Linked DNA regions of Callithrix jacchus. The protein of the gene in region 3 purifies or fractionates together with the protein of the main gene of each other region. This does not show direct contact. Links are inferred from orthologs where the notes say so. Each region holds a gene or a part of one and is shown on either strand. Other genes may lie near its edges.

Region 1 (3,652 bases), on a different chromosome or scaffold from region 3:
CCCCTAGCATGACTTGTGAGAAGTAACTCCTCCTTTTACCTGGCATGATTTCTAACTCAACATACATCTCCACCTGTGAGATCATCCGAGATGTACTGTGGAATGCTCGTTCCTCCTCTAGACTCCCCAGAACTAACCACTGCCTTGTCTGCATTTACGCCCAGGTCATACCCCGGCCCTGGCTTGTGCTCCTAACAAAGACGTGGCTGACTGCCTGGCCCTCATTTTGGCTACCATGATGCCTTTTTCTCCTTCCAGTACAATGACGGCCGTCAACTTCGTTTGTTTAAAAAAAGACAATTTGAGCAGGACGACCCTCTCCAATCTTGGTAGCATGGTTAGCCTGTGCAGTAACAACGTAGGCTCGGAGGATGGGTACAATGAAAATGATTCTGATTCGGAAACGTTTTGACTTTGGACTGTAGAAGCTTTTCCTTGATCACCTGTGTTGGAGGAAGGGAAAGAAGCTTGAATTCCAGGTTCATGTTGTATTCAAATATTATTTGGGGCCTGGGCTTCCAGAAGTTAGTAGATAAGGAATTAATCGAGGGAGGGCAGTGAGGCTGTTGGGTGGAACACTCACACAGATGGCCTCAGTTTGGTTTTGTTTCACGTTTTCTTTAGATCTAAGATACATCTGTGAAAGTCTACCTCTCATTTTAAGTAAAGAATAAAAGATGTATTTAATTCCTGTTCTTCAGGGATAATACAACAGAGAGGCAGCTGTTCACTCTGAATAATTTTTCTTTTCATGTATTTAGCAGTGAGTTCTCAGAAGTCTATCAGTGTGACATTCATGTCCCTGGGGAGGGAAGGGAAGAGGTAGATAGGAAATGCCTCAAACCTCTTCTTACTTTGATGTTTACTTCCTCACTAGAAGCCAAAGGTAAAGGTGTTCATCTTCAGAAATAATGCCTGTAATAATCTTTTTAGAGAGTCCTCTATAGTAAGCATTTAAATATCCAGAACTTCTTTCTGAGGATCTCTGTTAAAGTTGCCAGATGAATTGAAAAACTGAACTTGCTTTTCTTGTTTAACACAGTGTTCCCTTTAACAAGCCTGTGACTAATTTTCACTTAAGTGATTGAACCCAAATTTATCTAATAACATTTTAGGTGAAATGATATTGCACCAGAACTTTGACACAATATGCAAAATTAACATGAAACTACCCTTTGTTAATTCCCTCTTAAATCAAAATACTAACTTTTTAAAAACATCAGAATCATCAGCGTTGTTCATTAGTAGTAAACTGAGCTTCTCAGTCAAGGTCATGCCATGTGAGTAAAAAGTGTGACTGTAAAAAGGAATAAAAAAGTGAAAGCAGAAAGGAGAAATGTGTGATATAGAATGTAAAGCCAATTGCCAGTTGCTTGATGATGAAATCAACATAGTGAATACTGTGTCTGCTCCTTCTGCCAAAGCTTCTAGGTCAAATGGACCCCGTTCCACACCTGGAACAGCTATACAAAAAGAAGAATGAGACTCTTTAAACATTATGCACATGTACACACACATATATGTGTGCATGTATATATATATATATATATATATGTGTGTGTGTGTGTATGTAGTTCATCAGCTCAGCTACACATGAGGACCAAAATGCTTCAGTCTAAAACAGAAGATTTACATTCTTTTCCTTCAAAATGCAAGTGAGAACTGAAGTAGGTTTTCTATGGAGTTAAAATGTATTCTTTCTGTGTACCAGTCTTTGTTGTATTTTATATTTCTTATGACACAGATTTCTAGTTGACAGCTTAACATTTGTAACTGATGATGTGTTGACCATGGTTTTTTGTTTTGTTTTGTTTTTTTGCCAAACTAGAGAAAATGTCCATATACTTTTGATGTAAATGTGTTTATATTTATTTGAAGTGAAACAAATGGCAAGGAAACATCCATTATTTGTTCTCTATTTTAATTGCTTTGTATCTTATTTAGAATAACAAAAGTGGAAAAACACATTTGACCCTGGGCTAGCCAAAAGCCCTAAGGCCGACCCAGCATTTCCACTGCTAAGGTTTCTAGCTGACCCTCAGGTTCTTCCGCATTGGTTAGAGAGGGCTACCATAGTCTGTAGCCAGTTGAGTTTAGAAGACATTGCAGTCTGGATGTTCTTCTGTGAGGTAAAAACTCAAACATGTAGTAGATCATATACACAAAGGCAGCCCAAAGAAATATCCAGAAATTACCCTAAGTTCACTGAAAAGCTCACATAGTCTCAGTAACCTAATGGGAAATGATGGCAGTGTGTGGGCACATGTGCCAAGAGGAAAAATAAAAATCACCAGCTCAAGTGCAATTTTCTGCTTGAGGAAGAGACAGGAAAGAAATGTGTCGAATTAGAGCAGGACTCTCTGACATTTTATAATGAGTTCCAGTTCCACCCTGGAAATTTCTGTTTTATAGGATATGTGAGATATTTCAAAAATAGTGTTCTGTTATATCTGGATCAAAGACAGATAACTGTATTATATTTTTCATCTAGCTGTAAAACTTTAATCTTACTTAATATCCTGGATTTAATTAAAACTCCTGTTGGGTTCTTCACAAATGAGAACTTGTTCAAAGGACTTATTGAACTGGTAATTTTGCTGAAAATTTCCCGCACCACCACCATTGTTTTTTGAATTCCTGGTCTTGTGCTCCCCTCCTTCTATCCTTTTTGTTTGTTTAGAGAAGATGAATTTTTAAAAAGCAGATAAATTGCTAACGAGCAATAATGACCTTATCTTTACCAAAACACTGAAAATTAAGAGCGATCCAGTGTTGAAAAAGCACAATATGCTGCAGTGTCTTTTTCTAGAAGTGAATGGAAATCTTGCTCAGTTGGCATTTCAAGCAGGAAATGAAATGCCTGCTTTAATGGCAAAGCGGCGTTAACATTTTTCCTGTCAAGTAGCAGAGAGTACAAGGATCATTTCAGCAAAGCAGTGACTCACCATGAGACGTTATCTCCATGGAGCTGCGTTTTGACTTTTTCCCACTCTCTTACTCATAGAAGGAGGACAAAGGAACAAAATGAAATCATGCTCACAACAAACTGTTCATTACATCAATTGATATCTCTTTCTTGCTTTCTTTCTCCCTTCCCCCAAGACTAATTTTTTTTTAAGAAGTGACTTTAAAAACTATCATTTCTGTGTTTTGATGACATCTCTTAGAAATAAAATTATGTTTGCACCACGGCTTTCTAAGAAAAAACAAGGTGTGTTTTTACCTGAGTCTTAGTTGCTTAGTGCTTTTACTTAAGTGTTATTTTTAGACTGTATTTTAACCACAGCCACAGGGATCATGTTTCATTGCTCTTACTTATTTGCCAGTGTCTGCCTGTCTTTGGTAAATGCATTACTATCTCCAAATTGCCTAAAATCTGCTATGATTCTACAGTAAATAGCTCAGGGGATTTCTATTTATCACTACTAAAAGGGCACCATACTATGTTTTGGTACTTTAGGCAGTAAACACTGCTCGACTTATCATTTTATTATTAAATTAGAACAAGAACATCAAATGGATTTGCTGTACTCGTTATTCTTTGTACTGTTGAGCGACTTGCTGTGCTTATATGTTGTGTTGGTTGAAGAACTCATCCCTTTTTTGTCTTGTAATATGAAGTTAGAGTGCCTTTTTATATTTGTATATTCTG
Region 2 (3,652 bases), on a different chromosome or scaffold from region 3:
ACCATATTTTCCCCTTTCTTTAGAAGTTCTATTTCCCAAAGATCATTTTAACAAAGTTAAGTTTTCTAAATAGGAATAAACATTCCAGCAGTTATAATAGGTGGCAGTATTCCGGTCAGGATTTCTTTCAAAATTTTCTTTAATGTAATATTATTTTAGCAATTTTGTAATCTTTACTTCAAACTTGTTCTAGTTTAAGGCCTTCTATATTACTGAAAGTACACATTTCTATGGGAGAAATCAGTAAGCTCTATTGAGCCTATTTGTATACAGGCAGTGCTTTTATAGCCTAATATGTAAACCCTTGAAAACTGCTTGTCATAAATAAAAGAATATTTTTTCCAGGGTATATAACATGCTAATTTAGTCATGTATTTCAATTTCTCTTTATTACAGAACTCCTCTCCATGCAGCTGCCTTCACAGACCATGTCGAGTGTTTACAGCTGCTGCTTAGCCATAATGCTCAAGTCAATTCTGTGGACTCTACCGGGAAAACACCTCTTATGATGGCTGCAGAAAATGGACAAACAAATACAGTTGGTAAAGAAAGTTCTGTAAAATTTTATTTTCCTAAGTATGTATATTACTTACATAGAACTTAGATCGCAAAACCTCTGACTTCAACTAGTTATCTTACCACTCCTAAGACTTATAACCTTGTACCTGTTTGCAGTCTACATTTTCATTTAGAGATACAAGTTTTAGTTTGCCCTTACCGATTAAAGAGTCTGCTTTACCATGGCCCTGTACCATAGTGGTTAGAACACTGGCTCTGGAGTTGCATTGCCTGAATGTGAGTCCTACATCTTCCAGCTAAGTGACCTTATGCCTCAGTTTTCTCATTTATAAAATGAGAAATATAACAGTATCACTTTGTGGGTTGTTGTGAGGGTTCAATAAATTACTATAAATCTAGAGCATAAAAAGTATTTTAAGTTTAGTGAATAGTCACAAAATAAATGTTAATTGCCATTGTTTGTGTGCCTGACTTATATAACAATATAATTGTCTCAAGCAACTGTATGAAGATATATGTTACATATTACAGTCTTTTTCTTGTACTTAAGTTTTTGTGAGAGGGACTTTTTTGCTTTGTATCTTCATTTCTCTACAGTGAGTTATTGGTAATCTAAGAAACATGTTCATAAACATAAGAATTGATGCACTTTTTCCTCCCAGAGATGCTGGTTAGCAGTGCTAGTGCAGATCTGACTTTACAAGATAACAGTAAAAATACTGCCCTCCATTTGGCTTGTAGCAAGGTATGTATACATTTTAAGAACATGCTTTTATTGTTAATAATAACAGTGTCATTAAGTTTTTTGACTTCACTGAAATGAACACAACTCAGGACCAAACCTCTCTAATGATCACTGGTAATAGATTTCTTGAACAAAATTATTGACTTACTAGGCACCATGCGTATTGAAGTCTACAGTAAGCTATTTTGGAACACAAACCTAAGCATAATTATCCTCTTTCTTTAATCTTAATTTTGTCCTCTTCTCCTACCCTCACTCCCAAGATGTGTTTTGGCAACTACTAAGATATTGGCCAGGAAAATTCATGGCATATGCATAGTGGGGTACATATTATATGGACTAGGGTTGTGGATTTTGGGTGTATAAATTTATCTTTAATGGTGCCCAAGTTTTTATAACTATTTGCCACAATTTTAGGGTCATGAAACTAGTGCCTTGTTAATACTGGAAAAGATAACAGATAGAAACCTCATCAATGCAACCAACGCAGCCTTGCAAACGTGAGTACTGTCGGTGTCTAGTGTAAACTTTTCTACCTATAATTATAAAAATGATAAATGAATTTTTTTAAACGTGACTATTGAAATAGGTATCATTAGTCATAGAAGCAATTTCAGTAAGTTTTACAACTGTCCAAACTCATTTCTAAAATCATCACAACTGAAAGGCATATTACTTAAAATGCTTTTGAACTGAAACTTTATTACAACATTGACAATAATGTATTTTTTCCTTAATCCACCTACCTACTTTTCTCAAGAAAAGGTGGTACTATTTTGTGTATTTTATGGAAATCAACCGTAATATGTTACTTGAAACTAACAATGAATGAAGTAAAAAGCTTTATATGTGTCTGTAAGCCAATAAAAGAATCAAGTTTTTAATAATGTGAGTAGCCAACCTCCAAATTGACTAACAGAAATCTTACATTAGTGTCTCATTGTCCTTTGCTATTCCATTTTGAGGTTTGATAAAGATAAAAATCTTATTGTTTCCCATTCTGGGATTAGTCAGATCCCTTGAAGGTCCAAAAATTAGTCATGATGCTTGTAAGCCGTTTTCAAAGCCTATTAGAATTTGTGCTACTGCAATTTGCAATTTTTAATATATAGTCTATGTCTTTACCAGCCTCATTTTTTAACAATGGAGGAATGCAATTTCAATGGTAAAATCTGTTTAAACGTTGAGTCTGAGAAGAAAAGTAACAAAAGAAGTGGGTGAATGTAGGGACCTTGTTGATGGGACCCATGGCTAAACTTGATGTCAAGCTACACGTTGACAGGTGTGACAGTACACTGTACAGATGTTCTGCTCTCCCTGCCCCCATCTTTGTTATTAGGACTAGTTATCTTGAGTTTGTACCTCTTGGTCTTCAAAACTTGACAGAAATGCTCTTTGACAGCCAGGTAGTATTTGTATGTGTATGCGCATGCACATATGTGTACACGTATCATGTTTTTTCCTCTAGACCTCTGCATGTTGCTGCCCGAAATGGGCTAACAATGGTGGTTCAGGAACTTTTGGGAAAAGGAGCAAGTGTGCTTGCAGTAGATGAAAATGGTAAGTTGGTTCTGTGTTTTCTTTTCTTAACCTAGAGCTTTTATTATTTGAAGAGAAACAAATTTGGATGTTATTTATTGGTCAAAGAGGAGAACTGAAATTAATATTGAATTGTTTGTGGCAAAGGAACAAGGGCAAAAGAAGTAGGAAAAGTTACCTAACAGATGAACTTCTGATTTCCTGTTATCATCTGTTAAACCAAAGTTAGTGTTTATTGTTTATATTTGCCGCTTTTTATTGTTTTAGTAGCCCAAGAGTTTGTTCTTTCTGCAAATATTTATTAAGACCCTACTTAAGTGCTATATTCTTATTTAAAGCCAGTGCTTCCACTCATGCACCAGATCCTGCCCCCTTTTGCCTACTTCATAATGTCACTTTGACAGTTCTCATTTGTGTCCTGCAGTGACAATTTTTTGCTCTCTCCCCTGATTATTCCCCTCGGTATATAAACATTAGTTCCCTCATCTTTAAAAAAATATTTTATAAATCTCACTAGTCCTCCCAGCTACTGCCATATTTGTTTCCCTTTGCAACAAAACTACTCTCTTGCTGTCCCCAGTGATTCTCCTCTCCTCTCTCATTCTTCCATTCTCTCTCTCTCTTTTTTTTTTCTTTTTGAAACAGAATCTAGCTCTGTTGCTCAGGCTGGAGTGCAGTGGCGTGATCTCAGCTCACTGCACCCTCTGCCTCCTGGGTTCAAGAGATTCTCGTGCCTCAGCTTCCCCAAGTGGCAGGGATTCCACCACCACTACACCGAGCTAAATTTTTTGTATTTTTAGTAGAGATGGGGTTTTGCCATGTTGGCCAGACTGGTCTCAAACTCCTGAC
Region 3 (3,091 bases):
GTCATGCCCCAGGCTCCCTGCTGGTCACTTCAGCCCACCCTCCTTGGGCTGATCCTGGCTGCAGGGAACCAGATGGTGGTTGGCTGGTCTGTCCCACACAGCTGACTGACAAGGTGGTTTCTGGGGCAGGAGTGGAGGCAGCACAGACAGTGAGGACGAAGAAGAGGAGGAGGAGGAGGAGGAGGAAGACGAGGAGGGCATTGGCTGTGCAGCCCGTGGAGGGGCCACCCTGCTGTCCTACCCCAGCCCTGGTCCTCAGCCTCCAGGTGAATGAACAGGCGGTGTGGTCAGGCATCCACAGGCTGTCGGCCTGCTGCTAAGCTCATCCTCTGCTGCCCACCCCCCCACCTCTACCCCAGGCCCCGGCTGGACCGCCACCTTTGACCCAGTGCCTACGGATGCCCTGACCAGCCCCCGAGTCTCCGGGGAGGAAGAGCTGCACACTGGGCCTCCAGCCCCACAGGGGCCCCTCATTGTGCCCCAGGGCTTCCCCACCCAGAGCCTGGCCAGCCCTCCAGCTCATGATGCCCTGCAGCTCAGGTGAGAACCAGACGGGACGGGCTGGATGGCGCTGGTATCCCGAGGCCAGGAGGTGGTCATGGCCTCCCAGTTCTCTTGTAGGCTTGAGCGCTGACCCTAGCTGCCCCCTTGGGCTGCCTCTCTCGCCTGCCAGGTCTCAGGACCCCACAAACCCCTCAGCACCTCAGGAAGCCATGGACGGCAGCAAAGTCGTGGAGCCCTCAGGTGAGCCCCTCTTTGCCCTGCCCACCTGTGGCCTTGGGCAGAGAGAGCAGCCTGGCCAGCTCTGAGCTTGCTGGGATGCTGCGGCTGAGACCTCTCATCCCCCACAGCCCCCTGCCAGGCCTTGGTCAGCGTCGGGGACCTCCAGGCCACCTTCCACGGGATCCGTTCTGCCCCCAACTCCTCGGACAGGTGAGCAATGAGGTGGGGCTTACTGTGGGGAGGGGCTGGTATCAGGAGAAGTCTTTTCTCCTCCTCAGTGAGGTGGGCTTGGGTTTGTCTTGTCCCTGAGCTGCTCCAGGTGACCCTTGCAGGACCCCCAGGCCCAGCCTCATGTCATGCCCCAGCCCCCTGCACTCTGCAGGCTGGTTCTTCTCTTAGTAGCCTGGGATGCTCAGGGCCCCCAGGGTTGGAAAAGGCTCCCTGGAGGTTGTGAAGGATTGGGAGGGTGAGAGCATGCAGGAGACCCCTTGGGGCTGTCCCAACCGGCCTCGAGCAACTCCTCCACAGGGACAGGAACATGAAGGGAGGTGCTTGTCCTCTTGCCCAGAGCTGTGCAGTCCCTCTGCACTGAGCTAGCTTCGTGCTCGGGAGGCCCCTTCTGGTGGGGCAAGTGGCGGACACCCAGTGAGCCAACTGAAATTGTCAGGGGTGTGAGGGTGTCAGCAGGTGACGCTGACAGTTGCACCTGCCTCTCACCCACAGTGCAACCAGAGACCCCTCTACCTCTGTCCCAGCCTCCGGGGCCCACCAGCCCCCACAGACCACAGATGGGGAGAAGAGCCCAGAGCCTTTGGGGCTTACCCAAAGCCAGAGGTGAGTACCAGGGCAGCGGGGCAGGGCAGGGCAGGGCTGGCGGGCAGGAAGTGACCTCTGCACATCCCCTCCCTCCCGTGACAGTGCCCAGGCCCTCACACCTCCTCCAGTGCCCAATGGCTCTGCCCCGGAAGGGCCTGCATCACCGGGCTCTCAGTGAGTGTGGCTGCAGCCTGGGGCTGGGCAGGTGGGGCTGGGCCTGCTGGACCCTCACACGACATCTCTCTCTGTTTGCAGGTAGCTGCCTGGTGTGGCAGCAGCTGCCAAATCATCCGTCCTCCCATGGATCTCCCAGGGTGGGGGCAGGGCGAGTCCCATGATGGCCCCCGTTGCCCTCATCACCTGACCCCCCCACATTCTCTCCTTTGGACCCCCAGGAGGCTGGTGCCAGGGAGACAGGCCCAACCCAACCCCATTTGCACTGAGAATAGAAGTTTTGGAGCATTGCCTCCTAGAATAAAGATAAAGAGAGTCAAATAGAGAGAATGGAGAGAGAGAAATGTCTATTATATATTATATAAAGAGAGAGAGGGAGGAGAGGGAGGAGAGGGAGAGAAGGTGAGAACACCGAGCTGGGCTGGCGGCCCGAAGCACAGCTTCCCGTCCTGTCCCAGTGGGGGCTGGTGGTAGGGGTCCAAGGTTGCCGCCCACGTGCCCAGCCATCCTACGCTCAGGCACAGATGGCCATGCCCACACCCGGCCTTTCAGCTCAGGTCCACCATGAGGGACAGCCCAAGTGAGGGTGGGGGTGCCAGAGGGTCCCGCGTGGGGGCCGTGCCTTTGCCCAGACCCTGCACTTTCAACCAGGCCAGCCCGGCTCTGGGGAGCAGGGGCCTCCCCGGCAACACCCCCAGGGTCCCTGAGGGTCTGGGGTCCCAGCCCTGTTGCCAAGTGGCCTTGTCCAAGCTCCTTCCTCCCAGGCTGGTGTGAGTGTGTGTGCGTTCGTGCCGAGCTTCTATTTCATATTGCAAATATAAATAAAGGAAGACAGTTTACGATTCTGCTGGTCAGACCGTACATTCTGGGATGCGGGGAGGGCAGCCTGTGTTATCCCTGTACCCCAGCGGTTGGGGTACTCCTAACCCAGTCTGCCCCCACACTGTGTCCTGCCAGAGGGAGCCCTGTGGCTACAGAGGCCACAGGCTGGGCCAGGCACTGGCTGTGATGGCTCCTGCCAGGCCTACCCCACCTGTGGGCAGGGCCGAGGGTGGAGGATGGAAGCTGCCATCGGGGGCTCAAATCCCTGCTCCTACCCCCCTTTGGTAACCAAGCCCAGCATTGAGGCCGGGCAGTGGTGCCCAGTATGTCTGAGTCTTTGAGCCGGAAGGTAGAAGTGTAGGCCGGTGCACAGCAAGTGGAACAGGGGAGCGGTGCCAGGAAGCCTCTGTCTCGGCTACACCGGACCATGTGGGCCGGGTCATGAGGACAGTGTCCTCACTGCGGTGGCAGCTGGTTTGGAGGTCACCTAGGGCTGGCTCAGCTAGCAGGGGAGGGTGCTTATTCCCTGCATTCTTCGGGCCCCTTCCTTGTGGCC

Evidence for each region. The genes of interacting proteins can lie anywhere in the genome.
Region 1: the proteins of PPP6R1 (region 3) and ANKRD44 purify together in Homo sapiens (co-immunoprecipitation; 5 studies listed by BioGRID and IntAct, counting the BioPlex papers as one, with this or other methods). This does not show direct contact. The link is inferred for Callithrix jacchus from reciprocal best matches to the Homo sapiens genes PPP6R1 and ANKRD44.
Region 2: the proteins of PPP6R1 (region 3) and ANKRD28 purify together in Homo sapiens (co-immunoprecipitation; 4 studies listed by BioGRID and IntAct, with this or other methods). This does not show direct contact. The link is inferred for Callithrix jacchus from reciprocal best matches to the Homo sapiens genes PPP6R1 and ANKRD28.

What each region holds. Positions count from the first base shown.
Region 1 is NC_133507.1:117,936,856-117,940,507, reverse strand, and holds part of ANKRD44 (serine/threonine-protein phosphatase 6 regulatory ankyrin repeat subunit B), read left to right. Parts: intron 1-164; coding exon 165-412; 3' UTR 413-1,424; coding exon of another isoform or gene 1,425-1,483; 3' UTR 1,484-3,652. UniProt on the Homo sapiens protein: Putative regulatory subunit of protein phosphatase 6 (PP6) that may be involved in the recognition of phosphoprotein substrates.
Region 2 is NC_133518.1:54,471,444-54,475,095, reverse strand, and holds part of ANKRD28 (serine/threonine-protein phosphatase 6 regulatory ankyrin repeat subunit A), read left to right. Parts: intron 1-396; coding exon 397-542; intron 543-1,116; exon of another isoform or gene 1,117-1,181; coding exon 1,182-1,264; intron 1,265-1,681; coding exon 1,682-1,764; intron 1,765-2,732; coding exon 2,733-2,824; intron 2,825-3,652. UniProt on the Homo sapiens protein: Regulatory subunit of protein phosphatase 6 (PP6) that may be involved in the recognition of phosphoprotein substrates. Involved in the PP6-mediated dephosphorylation of NFKBIE opposing its degradation in response to TNF-alpha.
Region 3 is NC_133523.1:48,097,761-48,100,851, reverse strand, and holds the end of PPP6R1 (serine/threonine-protein phosphatase 6 regulatory subunit 1), read left to right. Parts: intron 1-129; coding exon 130-266; intron 267-359; coding exon 360-540; intron 541-673; coding exon 674-744; intron 745-851; coding exon 852-933; intron 934-1,446; coding exon 1,447-1,557; intron 1,558-1,641; coding exon 1,642-1,713; coding exon of another isoform or gene 1,714-1,717; intron 1,718-1,794; coding exon 1,795-1,798; 3' UTR 1,799-2,555; downstream 2,556-3,091. UniProt on the Homo sapiens protein: Regulatory subunit of protein phosphatase 6 (PP6). May function as a scaffolding PP6 subunit. Involved in the PP6-mediated dephosphorylation of NFKBIE opposing its degradation in response to TNF-alpha.